Notamacropus eugenii: one gene and its partner. Each later gene encodes a partner of the first gene's protein in a complex. Links are inferred from orthologs where the notes say so. Each region holds a gene or a part of one and is shown on either strand. Other genes may lie near its edges.

The links.
Region 2: the proteins of TAPBPL (region 1) and major histocompatibility complex class I-related gene protein are in contact, whole or in part, in an NMR structure (PDB 7RNO), measured with the Homo sapiens proteins. The link is inferred for Notamacropus eugenii from reciprocal best matches to the Homo sapiens genes TAPBPL and MR1. Residues at the interface, in NP_060479.3 of Homo sapiens: His47, Arg48, Gly49, Ala50, Ala52, Ser53, Ser54, Leu129, Met131, Thr132, Glu133, Thr135, Arg228, Gln230, Lys232, Gly233, Arg234, Gly235, Thr280, Ile282, Gln293, Ile295, Gln297, Arg307, Leu308, Ser309, Ile320, Cys321, Asp322, Leu355; in NP_001372090.1 of Homo sapiens: Arg101, Arg104, His105, Asn107, Thr129, Gly130, Phe131, Leu132, Gln133, Ile143, Phe144, Asn145, Asp147, Thr148, Leu152, Ala153, Val154, His159, Thr160, Lys162, Gln163, Ala164, Ala167, Asn168, Gln169, His170, Thr213, Phe214, Pro215, Asp248.

What each region holds. Positions count from the first base shown.
Region 1 is NC_092874.1:488,668,131-488,675,731, reverse strand, and holds the start of TAPBPL (tapasin-related protein), read left to right. Parts: upstream 1-4,589; 5' UTR 4,590-5,162; coding exon 5,163-5,220; intron 5,221-6,160; coding exon 6,161-6,394; intron 6,395-6,548; coding exon 6,549-6,818; intron 6,819-7,447; coding exon 7,448-7,601. UniProt on the Homo sapiens protein: Component of the antigen processing and presentation pathway, which binds to MHC class I coupled with beta2-microglobulin/B2M. Association between TAPBPR and MHC class I occurs in the absence of a functional peptide-loading complex (PLC).
Region 2 is NC_092873.1:464,526,710-464,534,393, forward strand, and holds the start of major histocompatibility complex class I-related gene protein, read right to left. Parts: upstream 3,019-7,684; 5' UTR 2,851-3,018; coding exon 2,796-2,850; intron 1-2,795. UniProt on the Homo sapiens protein: Antigen-presenting molecule specialized in displaying microbial pyrimidine-based metabolites to alpha-beta T cell receptors (TCR) on innate-type mucosal-associated invariant T (MAIT) cells.

The sequences.
Region 1 (7,601 bases):
TATCATTGATGGTTTGATCAGGTTGACATATGAGGCTTGGCTGAAGGAAGTGACAAAGCTGACCTGAAGCAGAACAGGCTGCTTAGAAGGTGGTGGGTTCCCCTCCATCCTCCAGAGTCTTCAAGCAGAGGCTGGATAATCGTTTGCTGGTGTGATCTGGTGGGATTCCTTTGTGTATGAGTTGGACCAGATGGGCACTGATATCCCACCCAACTCTCAAATTCTGTCATTTGGTGAAGCTCTTGTCACTGCATTGTCATCCCAGCTTTGCCATTATTCCAATTTGATGTCCGTTTTGACCTTTGCTTTAATTAGTGGGAAGTCTTAGAGAGATGATTCTGTGATGATTCTTATATTAGTAACCTGATACTTGTTACTATATAGTCAGACTCGGTTTCTCTGATGTGTAGCACCTTCTTTCCAACTCTCTCCTTAAAGAAAATATTTGTCTTCTATTCTGTATAGTAGATTAAATGCAGAGCTTTTGAGTGATCTACAAGTGGTCTCGTCTGTTTTTTATACTTGAAACATTTTTCCAACAGACTTTCTGGTCATCCTCCCTGTGCCCAGGTCACCAAATATCAGAGAATAATCAGAGAATCAGAGTTGAATTGGAGGATCTTGAGGTCTTTGTAGGATTGATTTGCCTCCTCATCTTCAGTGTTGAAGCAGAGGCTGCAATGAGCTTCATGGTGGTCAGTTTCTTTAAGGTCATCCTTTAAGGGTATAGCAAGAACTGGCCAAGGATTCATGAAGCCATGTGGTGTCTTGTATTTGGGCTCCCAATAAAAGCAACTTTGCCAAGTTGAACTACCTCTCCAAGAGGGACCTGGAAGCCATGTGTCTATTTAGATGGAATTTCTTGATATCTTCAAGTTGTTACTTTAGAGTTAAAATTGATATTGCTCAGTTCATCCAAGAGTGTTTTAATTCTTTGGTTGTGGAACAAAGAGCTTCTGCTATATTAGAAGAACAACAATTAAACTAATGTTGTTAAATGGTACAACATTATATGGGGAAGTGGTAAATGGAATCCAGGTGCCATAACTAAACTAAGAGTGGTCATGTTAGGAAGGGTGGTCCTGGAAGCCTCACCACTGCCATAGCAGTCTTTTGGGTGTCAGCAAGCTGGGGTCATGAGGTCTACTACTAACAGAACTGAACCTATGTAGAATCACCTCAGGGAATCTTCCACTAGGTGCTTTTGCTCCAAAAGGTTGATGATTCTTCTCTGAAGCAACAGCGGTCCCGACCTTGCTTTGGTGGATGGCAGCTTGAACATATAGTGAAGTGGTGGTGGCCTCAGGTCAGTGAGCTTCCAAGCCTCAACAAGGGAAGATATAGGATCATTGGCTGGGGAATTCCTGGACTATGCCAGGGAGCCTCAGGAGCGGAGCGGGCAAACAACGAGCCTCAGTCAGACGCAGGTACCTGGAGACAGAAAGTAAATAGCCCTTAAGCCTGAGTTCTCCCTCTCTTTGGACCATTGAAGGAGGGTAGAATACACATCCCACACCACATACACACACACACACACACACACACACACACCACACAGAGCACATACACACAGAGAACACACATACTACACATCACACACTGAGCACACTCCCCCTCCCCCACTCCTATTGAGTACAGAAATACAGTTAACCCAGCAGGAAGCAGGAGGAAATGAGGAGAGGAGAGAGCACAATGACTGTGGGAGACTGCACTCATTTGTGCTCGGGGGCTGAGTGATTTTGAATGGGAAGTGATAATTCCATTATCTGATTTTCCCCTGTCATTTCCTTTGCTGTTTCCTCTCAGTTATAGCCATTGCCAGAGGGCTTATGGCTGTGGCTGGACTTGATGGAGGCTTGAGCTCTGTGTGGCTTTTCCACATAACTAAGTAACCGATGAGAATTCCAGAGAGAAAGGGACACACAGAGTATATGTCATAAAGACGAGGCAGAGTTGAACAAGCAGTGGACAGAGTCTGGAAAACTGAGTTGGAACCTGACTCTGTGGGACCCTGGACTAATCACTTAATGTCCCTGAGGTTCAGTTTCTCATTGTAAAATAGACATAATAACGTTCCTTCCTTCCAGAGTGGAAAAAAGTTTGAAAGGTGCTTCGGGGGCTTAAAGCCCAGTGTCGGTCAGCTGTTATGATGGTCATTTTTTTGGGTGACTCTTTCTTTAGAAAAGTTGTCCCCATCAGTGAGAGAAGCACAGAAGCACCATGACCTTTCTGGGGACTTGGTTAACTCCAGACAAGATGTCTCTCTTCTGCTGAGGCAATTCCCTGACCTGGGCCAGCCTCCATGCTCTCTCTCATCTACTAGACAATTAGAGTGGGAACTTGCTTTCCATCTTGCTCTCTCCCTCAACTTTTCAGCAGAATGGAGAGCTTAAGAATAGCAGTCTTCCATCAATGCCTGTCAGTGCCTGCCTGCCTTTCTCAGAAGCAGCCTTGACTGACATTTGGTAGGGAAACCTTCCTCAGGGCTAGCAGGGATTGAGCAGGGATTTGCTCGTCTGGTGGGGCATCACAGAAGGGGAGCTCCCTTGCCAAGAGCTGAAGGTCATGAGATTCTCTGGCTGCCCTGAGCATCTTCTCACAGGTCCTTTAAAGTACAAGGAATTGGCAGATGCCTTGAAAATGATGTCTCCTCTTGAGGAGGCTGGTGGCTCAGAGCAAAGGTGGCCAGTCTGAACACACTCTGAACACCTGCCTGGAGGTGGCCTCGGTTTGTGGGCCTGAGATCCCCTGCTGCTCTCAATGGATGCCTGACTTTATGTCTTGGTTCCTGTGAGTAGCCCCCCATGGAATCTCAGCCAGGCCAGGAGGGTGGGTGGGTGGGGGTCTGCATGCCCTTGGGCCTGATGGCTCAGTGGCTGACCATCGTATAAAGGGGCCACACCCTCTTCTGCATCCTGAGGGCCATCATCTTCTGAAAGAGGTCACACTAGATGCAGTTTTGAGCTTAGTCTGGGCTAAGGATCACCTGGGCCTGGACAAAGAGCCAGAGGCTGTGGAGATGAGCTGTAGGATGGAGGCCTTGGGTGTTCAGGTCCCTTCCTGGACAGCCTGGGTGTCCAGGGCCCAGGAGATGTTTTCTACAGCTGACCACACATGTGATGGACAAGGCCTAGAATAACAAGGCATCTCACAGGGGCTGCTGCCTGTTGATACTGGGCTGCTACCAGGGAGGTGACTTTGGAGAGCCCACCATGGCCAGATTGAGGGAGGCAGCTGGCCCCTCATGCCAGGGGCTCCCCAGGTTGTCATCTTTACAGGGTTAGATGATTTGTTCTTCTAATTGTGCTCCATCACCCGGCTTTGGCACAGAAGACAGAAATGAGTTCCAATCCTGCCTTTGAGGCTGACTTGCTGTGGGACCCTAAGTAAATCCTTTCATGTCTCTGAGCTGCAGTTTCCTAACCTGTAAAATGGGGTCTAGACTCAATGTCCTTTTAGGTCCCATCCACCTTTAATACATACATTGCGGGGAATCAGCCACCTCCTGAAGCAGCCCATTCCTCTCTTGGAAAGCCCAAAGGGTTAGGAAATTGTTCCTGAGGCTGAGCCTAACTTGACCTTGGCATGGTCCCTCCTTCAGGGGGCAACCACTCCAGGCCTGTTCGCATGTTGTCTTCCTCATTAGTCTGTGAGGTCCTCCAGGGAGGGCACTGTCTTTGCCTCTTTTGTATCCTCTGCAGTTGGCATAGGGTCTGCCACATGGAAGGCACTTACCTCGGGATACTCTCTCTTTCTATGTCTTTAAACAGTGGCCCTCAAAAAAGAGCTCAAGGCACCGGATGGGGTTGGAGGAGGCAGAGTGCTCCCTCCCCACAGGGTCTGCCTCACTCACTTTCTAGTTGGTATCGATGGGTAGGCCAATGGGACTTTCCCTTCCTGGGCCCTGGGGTGCCACCTGGGACAGGTCTTGTTCCAAAGCTTGTTCCCTGGTTTGCCTTCTGGCTCTCCCCCCTTTCTCCATCCCAACTCCTACCTACCCACCTTCTGCCTCCTGTCTCCCCTTGCCCCTCTCTTGCTGCTAGCTCCCTTCTTTTCTTCCCCTTCCTTTCATTTTCTCCTCCAGCTCTTTCCTCTCTGACACCTTACCGTGGTCTCTTGGTCCTGTTCCTTTACTTTCCCTCCCTCCACTGCCTCTACTACCTCTTCCATCACCTTCCTGGAGCCTTTTCTCTCTCCCACTGCAGATGAGGGAAACTGTCCTGCTGTGCCTCCCAGGGTGGTTCAGGAGCAGGCCATGCCCAAAGTACAGAAGCCAGGGCAGACTTTGGGCAGCTGCCAGGGCCACTGGGCTCTGTGCCCTTCCTTTCCTCAACTACAAGAAGATTTTGCCTTCTGGGGTTCCCATAAATCCTGAATTTCCTCCCTGGAAAGGATCCCCCGAATAGTTCCTTCAACTCATCCCCCCAAAGACTCATTACTGAGAACCTTTCTACCCAGGGCCAGGCCGGCCCAGACAGGCCCAGCTCAGCCTGGTCCAGCCCACTTTTGTTGCCAGGGCCAAGAAGGTTTTCCTTACATCCAGCCTAAGCGCTACTCCCTCCCCCTCTCCCAAATAGACATTTGGCTGCAGAAACTAAAGGAGAAGGTCCAGGAGGAGGCCAAGGACTGGCGGCGCCTCGGGGCCGTTCTCCGGGGATTGAGGGGGATCGGGCCTTGTGCTTCTGGGGTCACTCATCTGGACAACCCCAGGAAGGGTCCCCAGAGCTTTGTCCTTGTCATTCTCCAGGACCCAGCCCAGCGCTCCCTCGCTAGCCGCCGGCCCGCCCGGTCACTCCATCCCCGCAGCCGGCCGGTCGGGGCGCAGGAACCGGGCGAGCTCTCCCTCCTAAGCCCTTCCTTCCACACAGTGATGGGCGAAGTGGGGAGACAGGCAGGAGGAGCGGGGCGCCAGCACCCTCTGCCCACTTCTGTTCCTCCCCCAGGCTGCAGCCTCTTGTCGCGGAGCAGAGCGAAAGTGAAAGGGAAACTGCGTTCGGGCGGGCGAGGGAGAGCTGCCTGCGGAGAGGGCCGCAGCAGGGGGCCGCGGGCCGGACACGGACGGACGAGAGGCCGATGCGCAGACCCAGAGGGCTAAGGACCGATCGGCCACACTGCTAGACATCCGGGGTCTGCCTGCCAGGAGCCGACCCCCCCCGGAACCCATGGGCGCCCCGGGCCTGCGCGCCCTTCTCCTCTGCTGGGCGGTGGCCACCTGGGCGGGTGAGCTCCGCTACTGGGAGTTGGTGGGGAAGGGCAGGGGAGGACAGGGGCGCGGGAGGCTGTGCTAGGCAGTGTGCGGGACACGCGTGTGTGTGCGTGAGTGTGAGTGCCTGTGTGTGTCTGTGTGCGTGGCTGCGCACGCGAGCTCCTGGGAGGTTGGGTGCGATGCGGGGCAGGCGAGGGGGGGGCCGCCTTCAGGTGCCTGGGGCCTAGGGCAGGGCTGGGTGAATTGGCTCCAGCGGGGCGGAGGGGCCGGGGAGGCAGCAAGGCCACAGGTACTGGTGGAAATGGCTGCGCGCAGCTGGAGGGTGAATGGCGGAGGAGAGCCTCCAGGTCCCAAGCCTTGGCAAGGACCCTTTCTCCAAGCTCCCCCTTTCCTCAGCCCTGTGACCCCCCACTCCGAAGTCTGGATCTGCCCCTAGTGATGAACCCCAACGCTGGATGGGAGTTAGGGGTGTGCCCTGGGAGCACAGAGACAAAAGCGAACCAGGGCCTACCCTGAAGGAATGCCCATTTCACTTTGGGAGCCAACACGAGTTGTACATATGTGATCAATTCGAGATGATGGGGGTGGTCTGCGGGCACCAGCGGCTAGGTTAGAAAAGACCTCAGGTAGCAGTCGCGATTCAGGCTGTTTTGTAGGAAAAAGACGGAGATGAGAAGGGATGTGAGCCGGTGGGAGACGAGTGACTATGCACAGGTAGAGAAGCCTAGTCAATAGAGTGAAGAAGCTGAGTAAAATGGGAGACTGAGAAGACGGGAAGGGGTGAGAGGGGGCAGGGCTTCAGATGCCCTGCATCTGACCCTAGAGGTGATAGGGAACCACTAGAGTTTGTGGAGCTGGGGAGCAGCCCTCTAGACACTTAATGGGGGCCGGCGGTCTGGTTTGGGGAGCCCTGGGACAGCTTGGAGGATACTCACCTTTTCTTTTCCTCTGCAGAGCGGGATGAGTCTGGAGGGCCCCGCAGAGGAGTTGATCTGATCCTGGACTGTGTCTTGGCCAAAGAGGATGGGCATGGCTGGGGCATCACTGCCAAGCCACTGAATGTGGCTCAGGCCACCCTGGTGCTGAAGCAAGTGCCGGTTCTGGATGATGGCACACTGGACAGCTTCACAGACTTCCCAGGGGTTCCTGAGGGCAAGGAAGACAACCCCATTGCTTTTGAGGCGGCTGGTGAGAACTTGGGGACTGCGGACCCACTCTGCCCCATTCCTAAATGCCTACCAGCCTGCCTCCTTAGCCCCTGTCTGTGCCTCAGCCAAGTCCTGCTCAGGCTCCCAGCCCAGGCCTGCTCCAGTAACCGCATCTTGTTCTTCCTCCCTCGCAGTGGACCAGGTGCAGCTTCCTCACGCTGAGGTCTTGCTTCACGCCACCTGCCAAGACAAGGTGGTGACCTGTGAGCTCACTCCCCTCAACCAGGCTGGAGAGGAGGCCAGTTCCCAGGACGTGGCCTATTTCATCAGCACTGTTCAGGTGTCTGGGGGAGGCTTCAGTGTCTCCATGGTGATAAAGACCCTTGGAGGGACAGAGAAGGGAGCTCCCTTGCATCCACAGCTGAATCTGCCCCTGACGCCCCGGGGGACAATGCTGGCATCAGGTGAGGAAGCTTTAGTTTGTACTGGATTTCACTTGTCACCTCCCTCAGGGGCATGGCGACTTCCCCTCCCCTCATGGGATCCAGTGTAGGCTGGGCCTTGGCTTACCCAGATGCTGTTCTGAAAACCTCCAACTCAGCACCCATGTTGGTCCTGTCTCAGGTGGACTCTGTGCCTTTTTAGGCCTTCACTGTGGGCATTTGATTAGCAGAATCTCAAGCTTCCCTTGGTCAATGATCCAGGACAAAACACCCCAAGGGCCAGTGTGCACCTCGTCAGGCCCCTGCCTCCACACCAGAAATCCCCTAGGTCAGACTGGACCAGCAGGCCACTGTCCCCAGCAGGTCCACAGCGGGAGGCCAGGGTCTCCTTCAGGCCTCCTTGACTTTATTCTTCTGCAGTACCTGCTCATTTCCTCCCTTTGGTGCTGAATTTGAGACCCTCCTCACCCTCACTGACAGGGACCCCAGCTTCCCCTCCCCCTCCCCACCCCCAGGCTCCCCAGACAGGGATCCAGGCCCCCCTTCCCACCCACCCTTATAGGCAAACCTAGACAGGGCCTCCCCTCCCCCCAGCCCTCTGGAGGTTGTGGCCCATAGACACTCATAGATCCCTTTTTCTCCTCCCACAGTGGAGTTCCAGGTGATGACACAGACTCCAGATGTGCAGTCTTCCCTCGGTGCCTCTGTCTCCTTGCTCTGTGGCTTCTCCATCGCCCCTGGATTGGGCCCATTTCACCTAGAATGGAGGCGGCAGCACCAAGGCCAGGGCCAGAGGGTGTATGC
Region 2 (7,684 bases), on another chromosome or scaffold:
TGTCTAAGGTAGGTTTTGAACTCAGATTTTTCTGACACTAAGCCAAGCACTGTATCCACTGTACCACTTAGTTGCCTCAAAGCATGAGGAAACTTGATATGAGTTTGACCATATCTTCTTATGAACTCAGTATCTTATCTTCTTTTGGATATCATTCAATGTCAATTTGCACAGCTAGTAAATATGGGAATGGAGATTCAATCCCAGATCTCTTCTGCCTTTCCTGGGGATGACCCATCCTGCCGTTAGCTAATTTCCCTCTTGGTGTGCGTTTATCCTTCGTTGCCAAAGAAGACCACACCATCAGAGAAATAATGACATGACTTGCACTTGACTTTGTTTTGAGTGAAGAAGGGCTATGCATGTCACCAGTCTCACTTCTCCTCCAGAGCCATCTGAATCCAGTGACCAGATATTCATCAGGGTAACTGGAGATGGCCCAGGATGAGGCAGTTGGGGTTAAGTGACTTGCCCAAGGTCATACAGCTAATGAGTGTTAAGTGTCTGAGTGAGATATGAATTCAGGTCCTCCTGACTCCTGCACTGGTACTGTATCCACTGCACCACCTAGCTACCCACTCCACCTAGCTGCCCACTCCCTCTTGATATCTTTAAGCTATAGGAAAGGTAATAAATGCAAGGAGATGAAGGAGCCCCGAATCTTTTGCCATCCCTATCCAGCCAGCTGAAGAGTTAATTTTCCTCACCACTAAATGCAGTTTAAAGAAGCAATTCAAAAGGCAGTGAATGAATTTAGGAGACTCACATCCTAGGCATGGTTCTGCCACTAACCAGTCTAAGGCTTTTCTCCTGTGTTTCTTCATCTGTAAAATATTCAAGAAAGACCAAAGACCTCTAAAGCTCCTTCTCATAGTGAAATTCTATTTCATAACCCTAAACCTTAGCAATGAGAGGTGGCATGACAGAGTAGAGAGTCTAGGCCTAGGAGTTAGGAAGACCTGTGGCTTCAGTACACATGGGGCTCCTGTCACATGCTACCTTCTACATGAAGCCTTTCCTTTTTCCTTCAGCTGCTGGTACCCTCACCTTCTATCCTGTATTTAACTACTTTGTACTTATTTTACATTCTTCTGTATGCATCTGTTGTCTCCCCCAATCGAGTACAAACTTCTTGAGAGCAGCAATTATTTCATTTTTAGTCTTTGAATTCTCACCTCCTAATACAGCACTTTGCACACAGCTGATGCTTAATGTTTGTTGGATAATTCCTCTGTGCTTACTAAGGATACATGTGGAGTGTTGTATTTAGTTATGACCATATCAGTTTAAGAAGGATGTAATAAACTAGAGAGTCTCCAGAGAAGGGTAAACAGGATACTGAAGGGTCTTTAAGTTCATATCATAGGAGGATTGCTTGAAGGAATTTGGAATGTTGAGCCTACAGAGGATAAGACTCAGAGGCAGTTGATAACAGATAGCCATCTTCAGGTATGTGAAAGACTGTGAGGTGGAAGGATTAGACTTGTTCTATTTGGCTCTAAAGAAAAGAACCAGGAATAGTGAGCAGAAGCTACCAAAAAAAAAAAAATTCAAGCTTGGTGTTAGGAAATTTTTCTAACAATTAGAGCTGTCCCAAATGGAATGCCTGCAGAGGTACTCCTCTTTAGAGAGCTGTGTTCCTACTCCTTAGAAGTTTACAAGTGGAAGATGGATAACCATCTTCCATGGCTACAGCAACGTGATCATGATCACATGGAGAAGTTACAGCTTTTCAGCACTCCCACAAAACTCTTTAAGATCACATGTACAGATTGCTTTGAGATCAGTATCCATGGAGGCAGTTTCCAAACTTAGAATTTCCTAGAGGACTTTCCCTTGGAAATCACAGGTTGGAGCCATAAAAAGTCCCAGCAGACTTGGAGAACTAACTTCCAACTTGGTCCCTGAGATCTCTAACACCAGTTTGAAAGGCATTTAATTTTTTAGGGACAAGCTCAATCTGCCTTCCCTAAATCTGAAGCAAATCATGGATACTTCTGTGCTTTCTAGAATGTGCTCCCTTCCCCTCACCTCTTCCAGAGAAAAAGAAAGCAAATCTCTGCCTCCAAAAAATTCTTTTTCCTTTTGGTACAGACCAGTGATTTCCATTCCCATAAGAAGTGCTAGTGTGGAATCGGAAACTTTCCACCCATTCAGGTTCCCCAACTCATCTGAACCTTGGAGTGTTAAAATGGTCAAAAGAGTTTCCCATGATTACCTAGTCTGTATGGGTCAGAGGCAGAACTAGACCTGGGTTTCTTGACTCCGAGGTCAGTCCTCCTTTCACTTAAAATTTTCGCTGCTGCCTCTCACAGTGCTCCTAGCATCTCTGCGTGTTCTTGTTTCTCCCTGTGTCCTTTGGTCTAATCCAGATTGAAGTGAGAGGAAAATAATGAAGTGGGATGCTTCTTCCTGTCCCAACCCCAAATGCCAGCTACACAACCAAGCCAGAAGGGAAGATAAGAGAAGGAGCCAAGGGCAGGAAAGAAAGGCAGAAAGAAGGGGAGAAAAGGAAGCAAGGTGGGAGGGAGAAAGGTGTTGTGAAAGGCATTCTGGAGAGGATTTCACCCACTCGGAAGCAAAATGAAATTTAAATCCTCCCCCAAAAGAACTGAAAAACGGTTCCATTCCTCCCCCAAACACTGGGTAAACCAAAAATACCCTTACTTGGCACAGCTAGCCAGCCCACAATTTCATCACATGCCTTGAGAAGAAAACTTGTAGTTCCTGGACTGACCATTCCAGAGCTAGGGGGAAGGTGGGGGGTGAGGGAGAGGCTCACTTGGGGTACTCACTGGCATCGCCTCCTTGGGTGGCTGATGTCATGAGGAGATAAAGAAGGAAGATCATCTAGAGGGCTTAATTAACGCTTTCTCTCTCCAGACTCTCCGGCCCCACTCCCAGCAGCTTGTACCTCCTGAGTCCTGACACGCCTCCACCCACTGGGGAAAATGACGAACTGAAAATTCTTCCAATAGGAAGGGAGAGTCTAAGTAGATTATAGAAACAAAAAATGAAACCTGACTAGCAGCTACCACTAGAACTACAGGAAGCAAAGAAAATCCCTCAATTCTAAGCCAAATTGACCATGATTTTGGCTTAGCTTGCCTCTCCTATGTTCCATGAGATTGGTGTATCTTTTTCTAACATGTACCCCTCTTTCATCATCCTTAGAGCCTAAAAGTGTATTCCAAAGACAGCTCTGCGTAAATTGTGCCTAGGAGTTGTGGTATTCATTCTCCTTTCCCATCACAACAGGATCCAAGGAGAAGAGTTCACACAAATCACCCAACGTTCTGAAATAAGAAAGATAGTATGAGAGATTCATAACCTATGGCATGAGTGTCAAAGAAAATGCAGGAAATGATTCCAAGTAGTACCCATTGCTTGACCAGTTTTTCTTTTTGTTTTGCTCAATCATTTTCAGTCATGTTCAACCCTGTTGAGATATTGGAGTGGTTTACCTTTTCCTTCTTCCGCTTATTTAACAGATGAGGAAACTGAGGCAAACAGGGTTAAGTGACTTGCCCAGGGTCATAGAGCTAGTAAGTGTCTGAGGCTGAATTTGAACTCATGAAGATGAGTGTTCCAACTCCAGGCCTGAAACTCTATCCACTGCCCACTTGACCAATTAGCAAGGTGTAAAAATCCACTTAGGTCAGCTAGGAACTAAAGTATCACATAATGACAGCTCTAATTGTATAAGTTTTTCCTGATATTAAATCTAAATTTGCTTTATAAAAACTTCCATTCATTGTTCCTGGTTCTGCTCTCCCAATCTAAATGTATTTTTATTCTATGGGAAAGTCCTTCTAATACTTGAAGACAGCTATCGTATCTCACTACCACAACCGTCTTTTCTTCTCCAGTATAAACCTCCTCAGTTCTTTCAACCAATCCTTCTATTATACAAAATCAAGACCCTTCACTATTCAGGCTACCTTCTTCTGAACATGCTTCAGACGACCAAGATCCTTCCTAAATCATAGTTCCCGGAGCCTCTGGATGTGGTCTATTCAGGCAGAGATATAGGGGACCAATGACTCCTCCTCCTTAGAAGTTATACCTCTCTTAACATTGTCCAGTATAACACGTTTTGGTTTGGTTTAGTTATCAATTCATGCCATTGGCTCAGTTGCATTTTCTTCAGGAAATGAGAGGAAGGAAGAGAACAATGCTTGGGTTTTAGTCCTGGGGGCAGAGGTATATATCTAGTCAGAGTAAAAGAAGAGAGTTTTTCCCCCTTTTGTGAATACAAGATTGATCCTAGACAGGGAATTATAAAGCAAATGAATTTTGCTTGGCCCTCTACCAACTCTCCTACAAAATCAGCCTCTACCTTGTGCTACAAGTATTCAATGACCTCATATCATGCCTCAGTTTCCTCATTTGTCAAATGAAGGCATTGGATGAGATGGCCCTTGAGGTATCTTCCATCTCTAGGTCTATGACTCTGATTCTTAAATCCCAACACTTTAGCATCCTACACATACCTACCTTCCAAACTGGCCCCTTCTCTTCCTGGCCCCCATTAAAGCTCTAATCCCCTAAGTGTTAAAGGTCAAAAGTGAATTCAAGAGGTGTTTCTCTTACGTGCATTAATCTAAGGGAGGGAAGTCTTCGTGATCTTAGCGATCACCTTATCCTGATCACTACAATCATCACTTTTCAGGTGGTAGAGGCTTCTCCCTTTAGCAACTGGTTAAGTCTTAGTTAAGGCTGGTGATCTTGCACAGCCCTCCCTCACTCAAAACAAAGTCAAGTACAAGTCATGTCATTATTTCTCTGATGTCATGGTCCTCTTCGAAAACGAAGGATGAGCACAAGTCTTTGTTAAGAATGAAACTAGGGAACTTTAGAGGCAGTTGGGTGGCCTAGTGGATACAGCACAGAGCTTAGAATCAGAAAGACCGCCTTTGTAAGTTCAAATCTGACCTCAGTCACTGCCTAGTTGTATGACCCTGAGCAAGTTACTTAACCCTGTTTGCCTCAGTTCCTCATCTGTAAAATGCGCTGGAGAAGGAAATAGCTAAGCCACTCTAGTATCTTTGCCAAGAAAACACCAATTGGGATCATGAAAAGCCAGACACAAGGAAACTTTGGAACAGGACAATGTTTCCTTGCCATTAAGCCTTTTCTTCAAGGGAAAACTCATTAGATTCTCACTCAACTGAGAAACAGGATTTTTTAGACCAATATTGAGAAAAAGCATGATTTATTATTTTAAAAGGAAGGAGTAAGTACGCTTCCACAGACTTGTTCATCTGATCCAACTGAGCAACAGGACAAAGAACTCTACAGCAGGTCTTGGGGGTGGGGGTGAAAGGGAGCATCAAGCATCTTGAAATTGTGGATTTGAGATTCCTATTCTAAAAGTTCTAGATTTTCTCACACCTCCAGCCCATATTCCCCTCCTTTCTCTGTGTCTCCCTTCAGGAAACCTGCTAGTTTTGCCCCATTTTACTCCCTCTACTGGTGGGTTAATGTAGACATTCAGCATCTTGAAACTTGAGTAAAGAAAGACTGGACAACCCTCATTTCAGGGCAATTTGATGGTGGTTTAACGGGTTTAGGACCAGACTCAAACAGGACTTTCCAGTCAAACTCCAGTGAGGCCTCAGAAAAGAACTCTGAGTACAAGCTACTTTACTCATGCCTCCTGGTTAGGAGCAGGTCTCATACAAGTCACAGGGGCTAAGCACATGGATGGGAGAGAGAAGTCCTTCAAGATACTCTTAGAGACATCATTTTGAAGAATGCTGGAATGACAGTGTAAGTAATAGCCAGCAGGCTTAGACTGCCTGGCTGGGTCTCATATGCATTCCTATTGGCATTTTCTGACAGAAGAGGCAGACCTACTGTCCCACCCAGAGAACAACAATTGTTGGTTGACTTGTTTTCTTTTGGTGAATGGGGTGCTGAAGCAGCATGTGGGGCTTCAGATGCGTCAGCACTGTTTAGAAGCCTTCCCTTTTTTTTTTTGGCTACTGACTTCCTAGGCTTCATTCAACCACTCCCACTCCCTACCCCAGCAGCCTCAACCACCCAGCCATTGGGGCAATTCTCTAGACAAACATTAAGATGTCCATATGACAATGATGTTTCAGTTTCCTTGGCCCTGGACAGACTTGGAGAGGCCTGATTAATAATTATCGGAGAAAAGAACATGGAACTCATGAACTTGGAATGACCAGATGAAGACCTGGCAGCCCACTTTTGAAGAGCCCTTAACCTACTTTTCAAGAGCTCTTTGCTCATAGCCCTCTCCAATACTCTTTTACTTAGAAACTGTTGAAGAAACAGAAGCACCATGTTTCTGTGTCACTTGAGGCAGCCCTCTGGGTGTGGGGGGAGTGGGGATAGAGGAGGGGCAAGACTCATTTCTCCATTTGGGGACATTTGCATCATTCTCCTCCTCAGCAGTCTACTGAAGCTAGGCAGGAAAGATCCAAGTCTAGCTTTGGCCTATTAGAGTTGTCTGAATAAACCAGTGCAAGCTGTATAGCTGATCACCAGTCTCTCTTTGTCACACACTCATCAAACCTGAATGTCTGTGTATCCTCCAAATTGGGGAGCAGGGTCCTTTTGTTACATGTATTTGTGACTTTCTAGAAACTCTCCAGTCTCTTCTCTAAATAGGAATTATAGCAGTGTATGCTATAACCATACTGTGTATACTTGCTAGTCCTCCATTCTACATTCAAGAAGAGACCCTAGTTCTAAAAACCTAGTGGCACTTCCTGAGTGGGACCAGATTCAGAATTCTAGAGCAATTCAAGTGCTATAAGGCTCTTTCTTTGGTTAGTAAGAGGTACCTTTTATCCCCATTTTCCAGATGAAGAAATTGAGGCTAAGAGAAGTGATGTGCCTTGGCCAAGATCCCACAGATACTAAGTATAGGAGCCAGAAGGCGAACCAATGCCCAAGTCCGCTGCTCTTTCCACAACCATGCAGCTTCTTCCAAAAGTGGGTTGCCTTCTGTTCTAGGGGTCTCTCAATACAGCAGGGTAAGAAAACCAAAAGTCCCCAAATTTCACTTTCACCTTCAATTCACTTCAAAGTCCTAATATGAGGGGAGGGAGAATACTGTAAACATTCCTTTAATTCTTTTCTTACTTCTCTCTTCCACCTCCAATCCCAGAACTTCCTCTACCAATACAGGTGAGCCTATACTCAAAGCTTCTTTGGGCTCTGGGAGGGGAAGGGACTTCCCCTGAGGCACAGAGCCCTGAAGTCTATCTCTCTACCATACCTTACTGCTCCTATTAGTAATTAGGATGGTGTATTTAAAGATCTGAAATATTTGTTTCTATCATTATAATATCATGATGAGCACTGAAATGTTAAAGATCCCTTTGGAGCTCCTCCTCTCAATGAAGGGCCACCCTAGCTAGGATGATAAATAGGCCAAAGCAGTGGACAGTCTGGAGGTAGTTCTGGAATACAAACAGAAGCAAGCAGCCCCTCAACGGCAGCTTAAGCAGAAGCTTATTTTTTATGATTTTAAAAAATATTTTTATATGATTGATTCACAAAATAATAACCAATAGACTCATAGACAGGTTTTATGTTAATATAGAACTAGGAACTCTTAATTTTTTATCAGATTCTTTTAATCTAATTTGTAAGTGTCATTAGCAGCATACTGTATTCTCCCATGAGGTCAAGAGGTGGAACAGGAGAA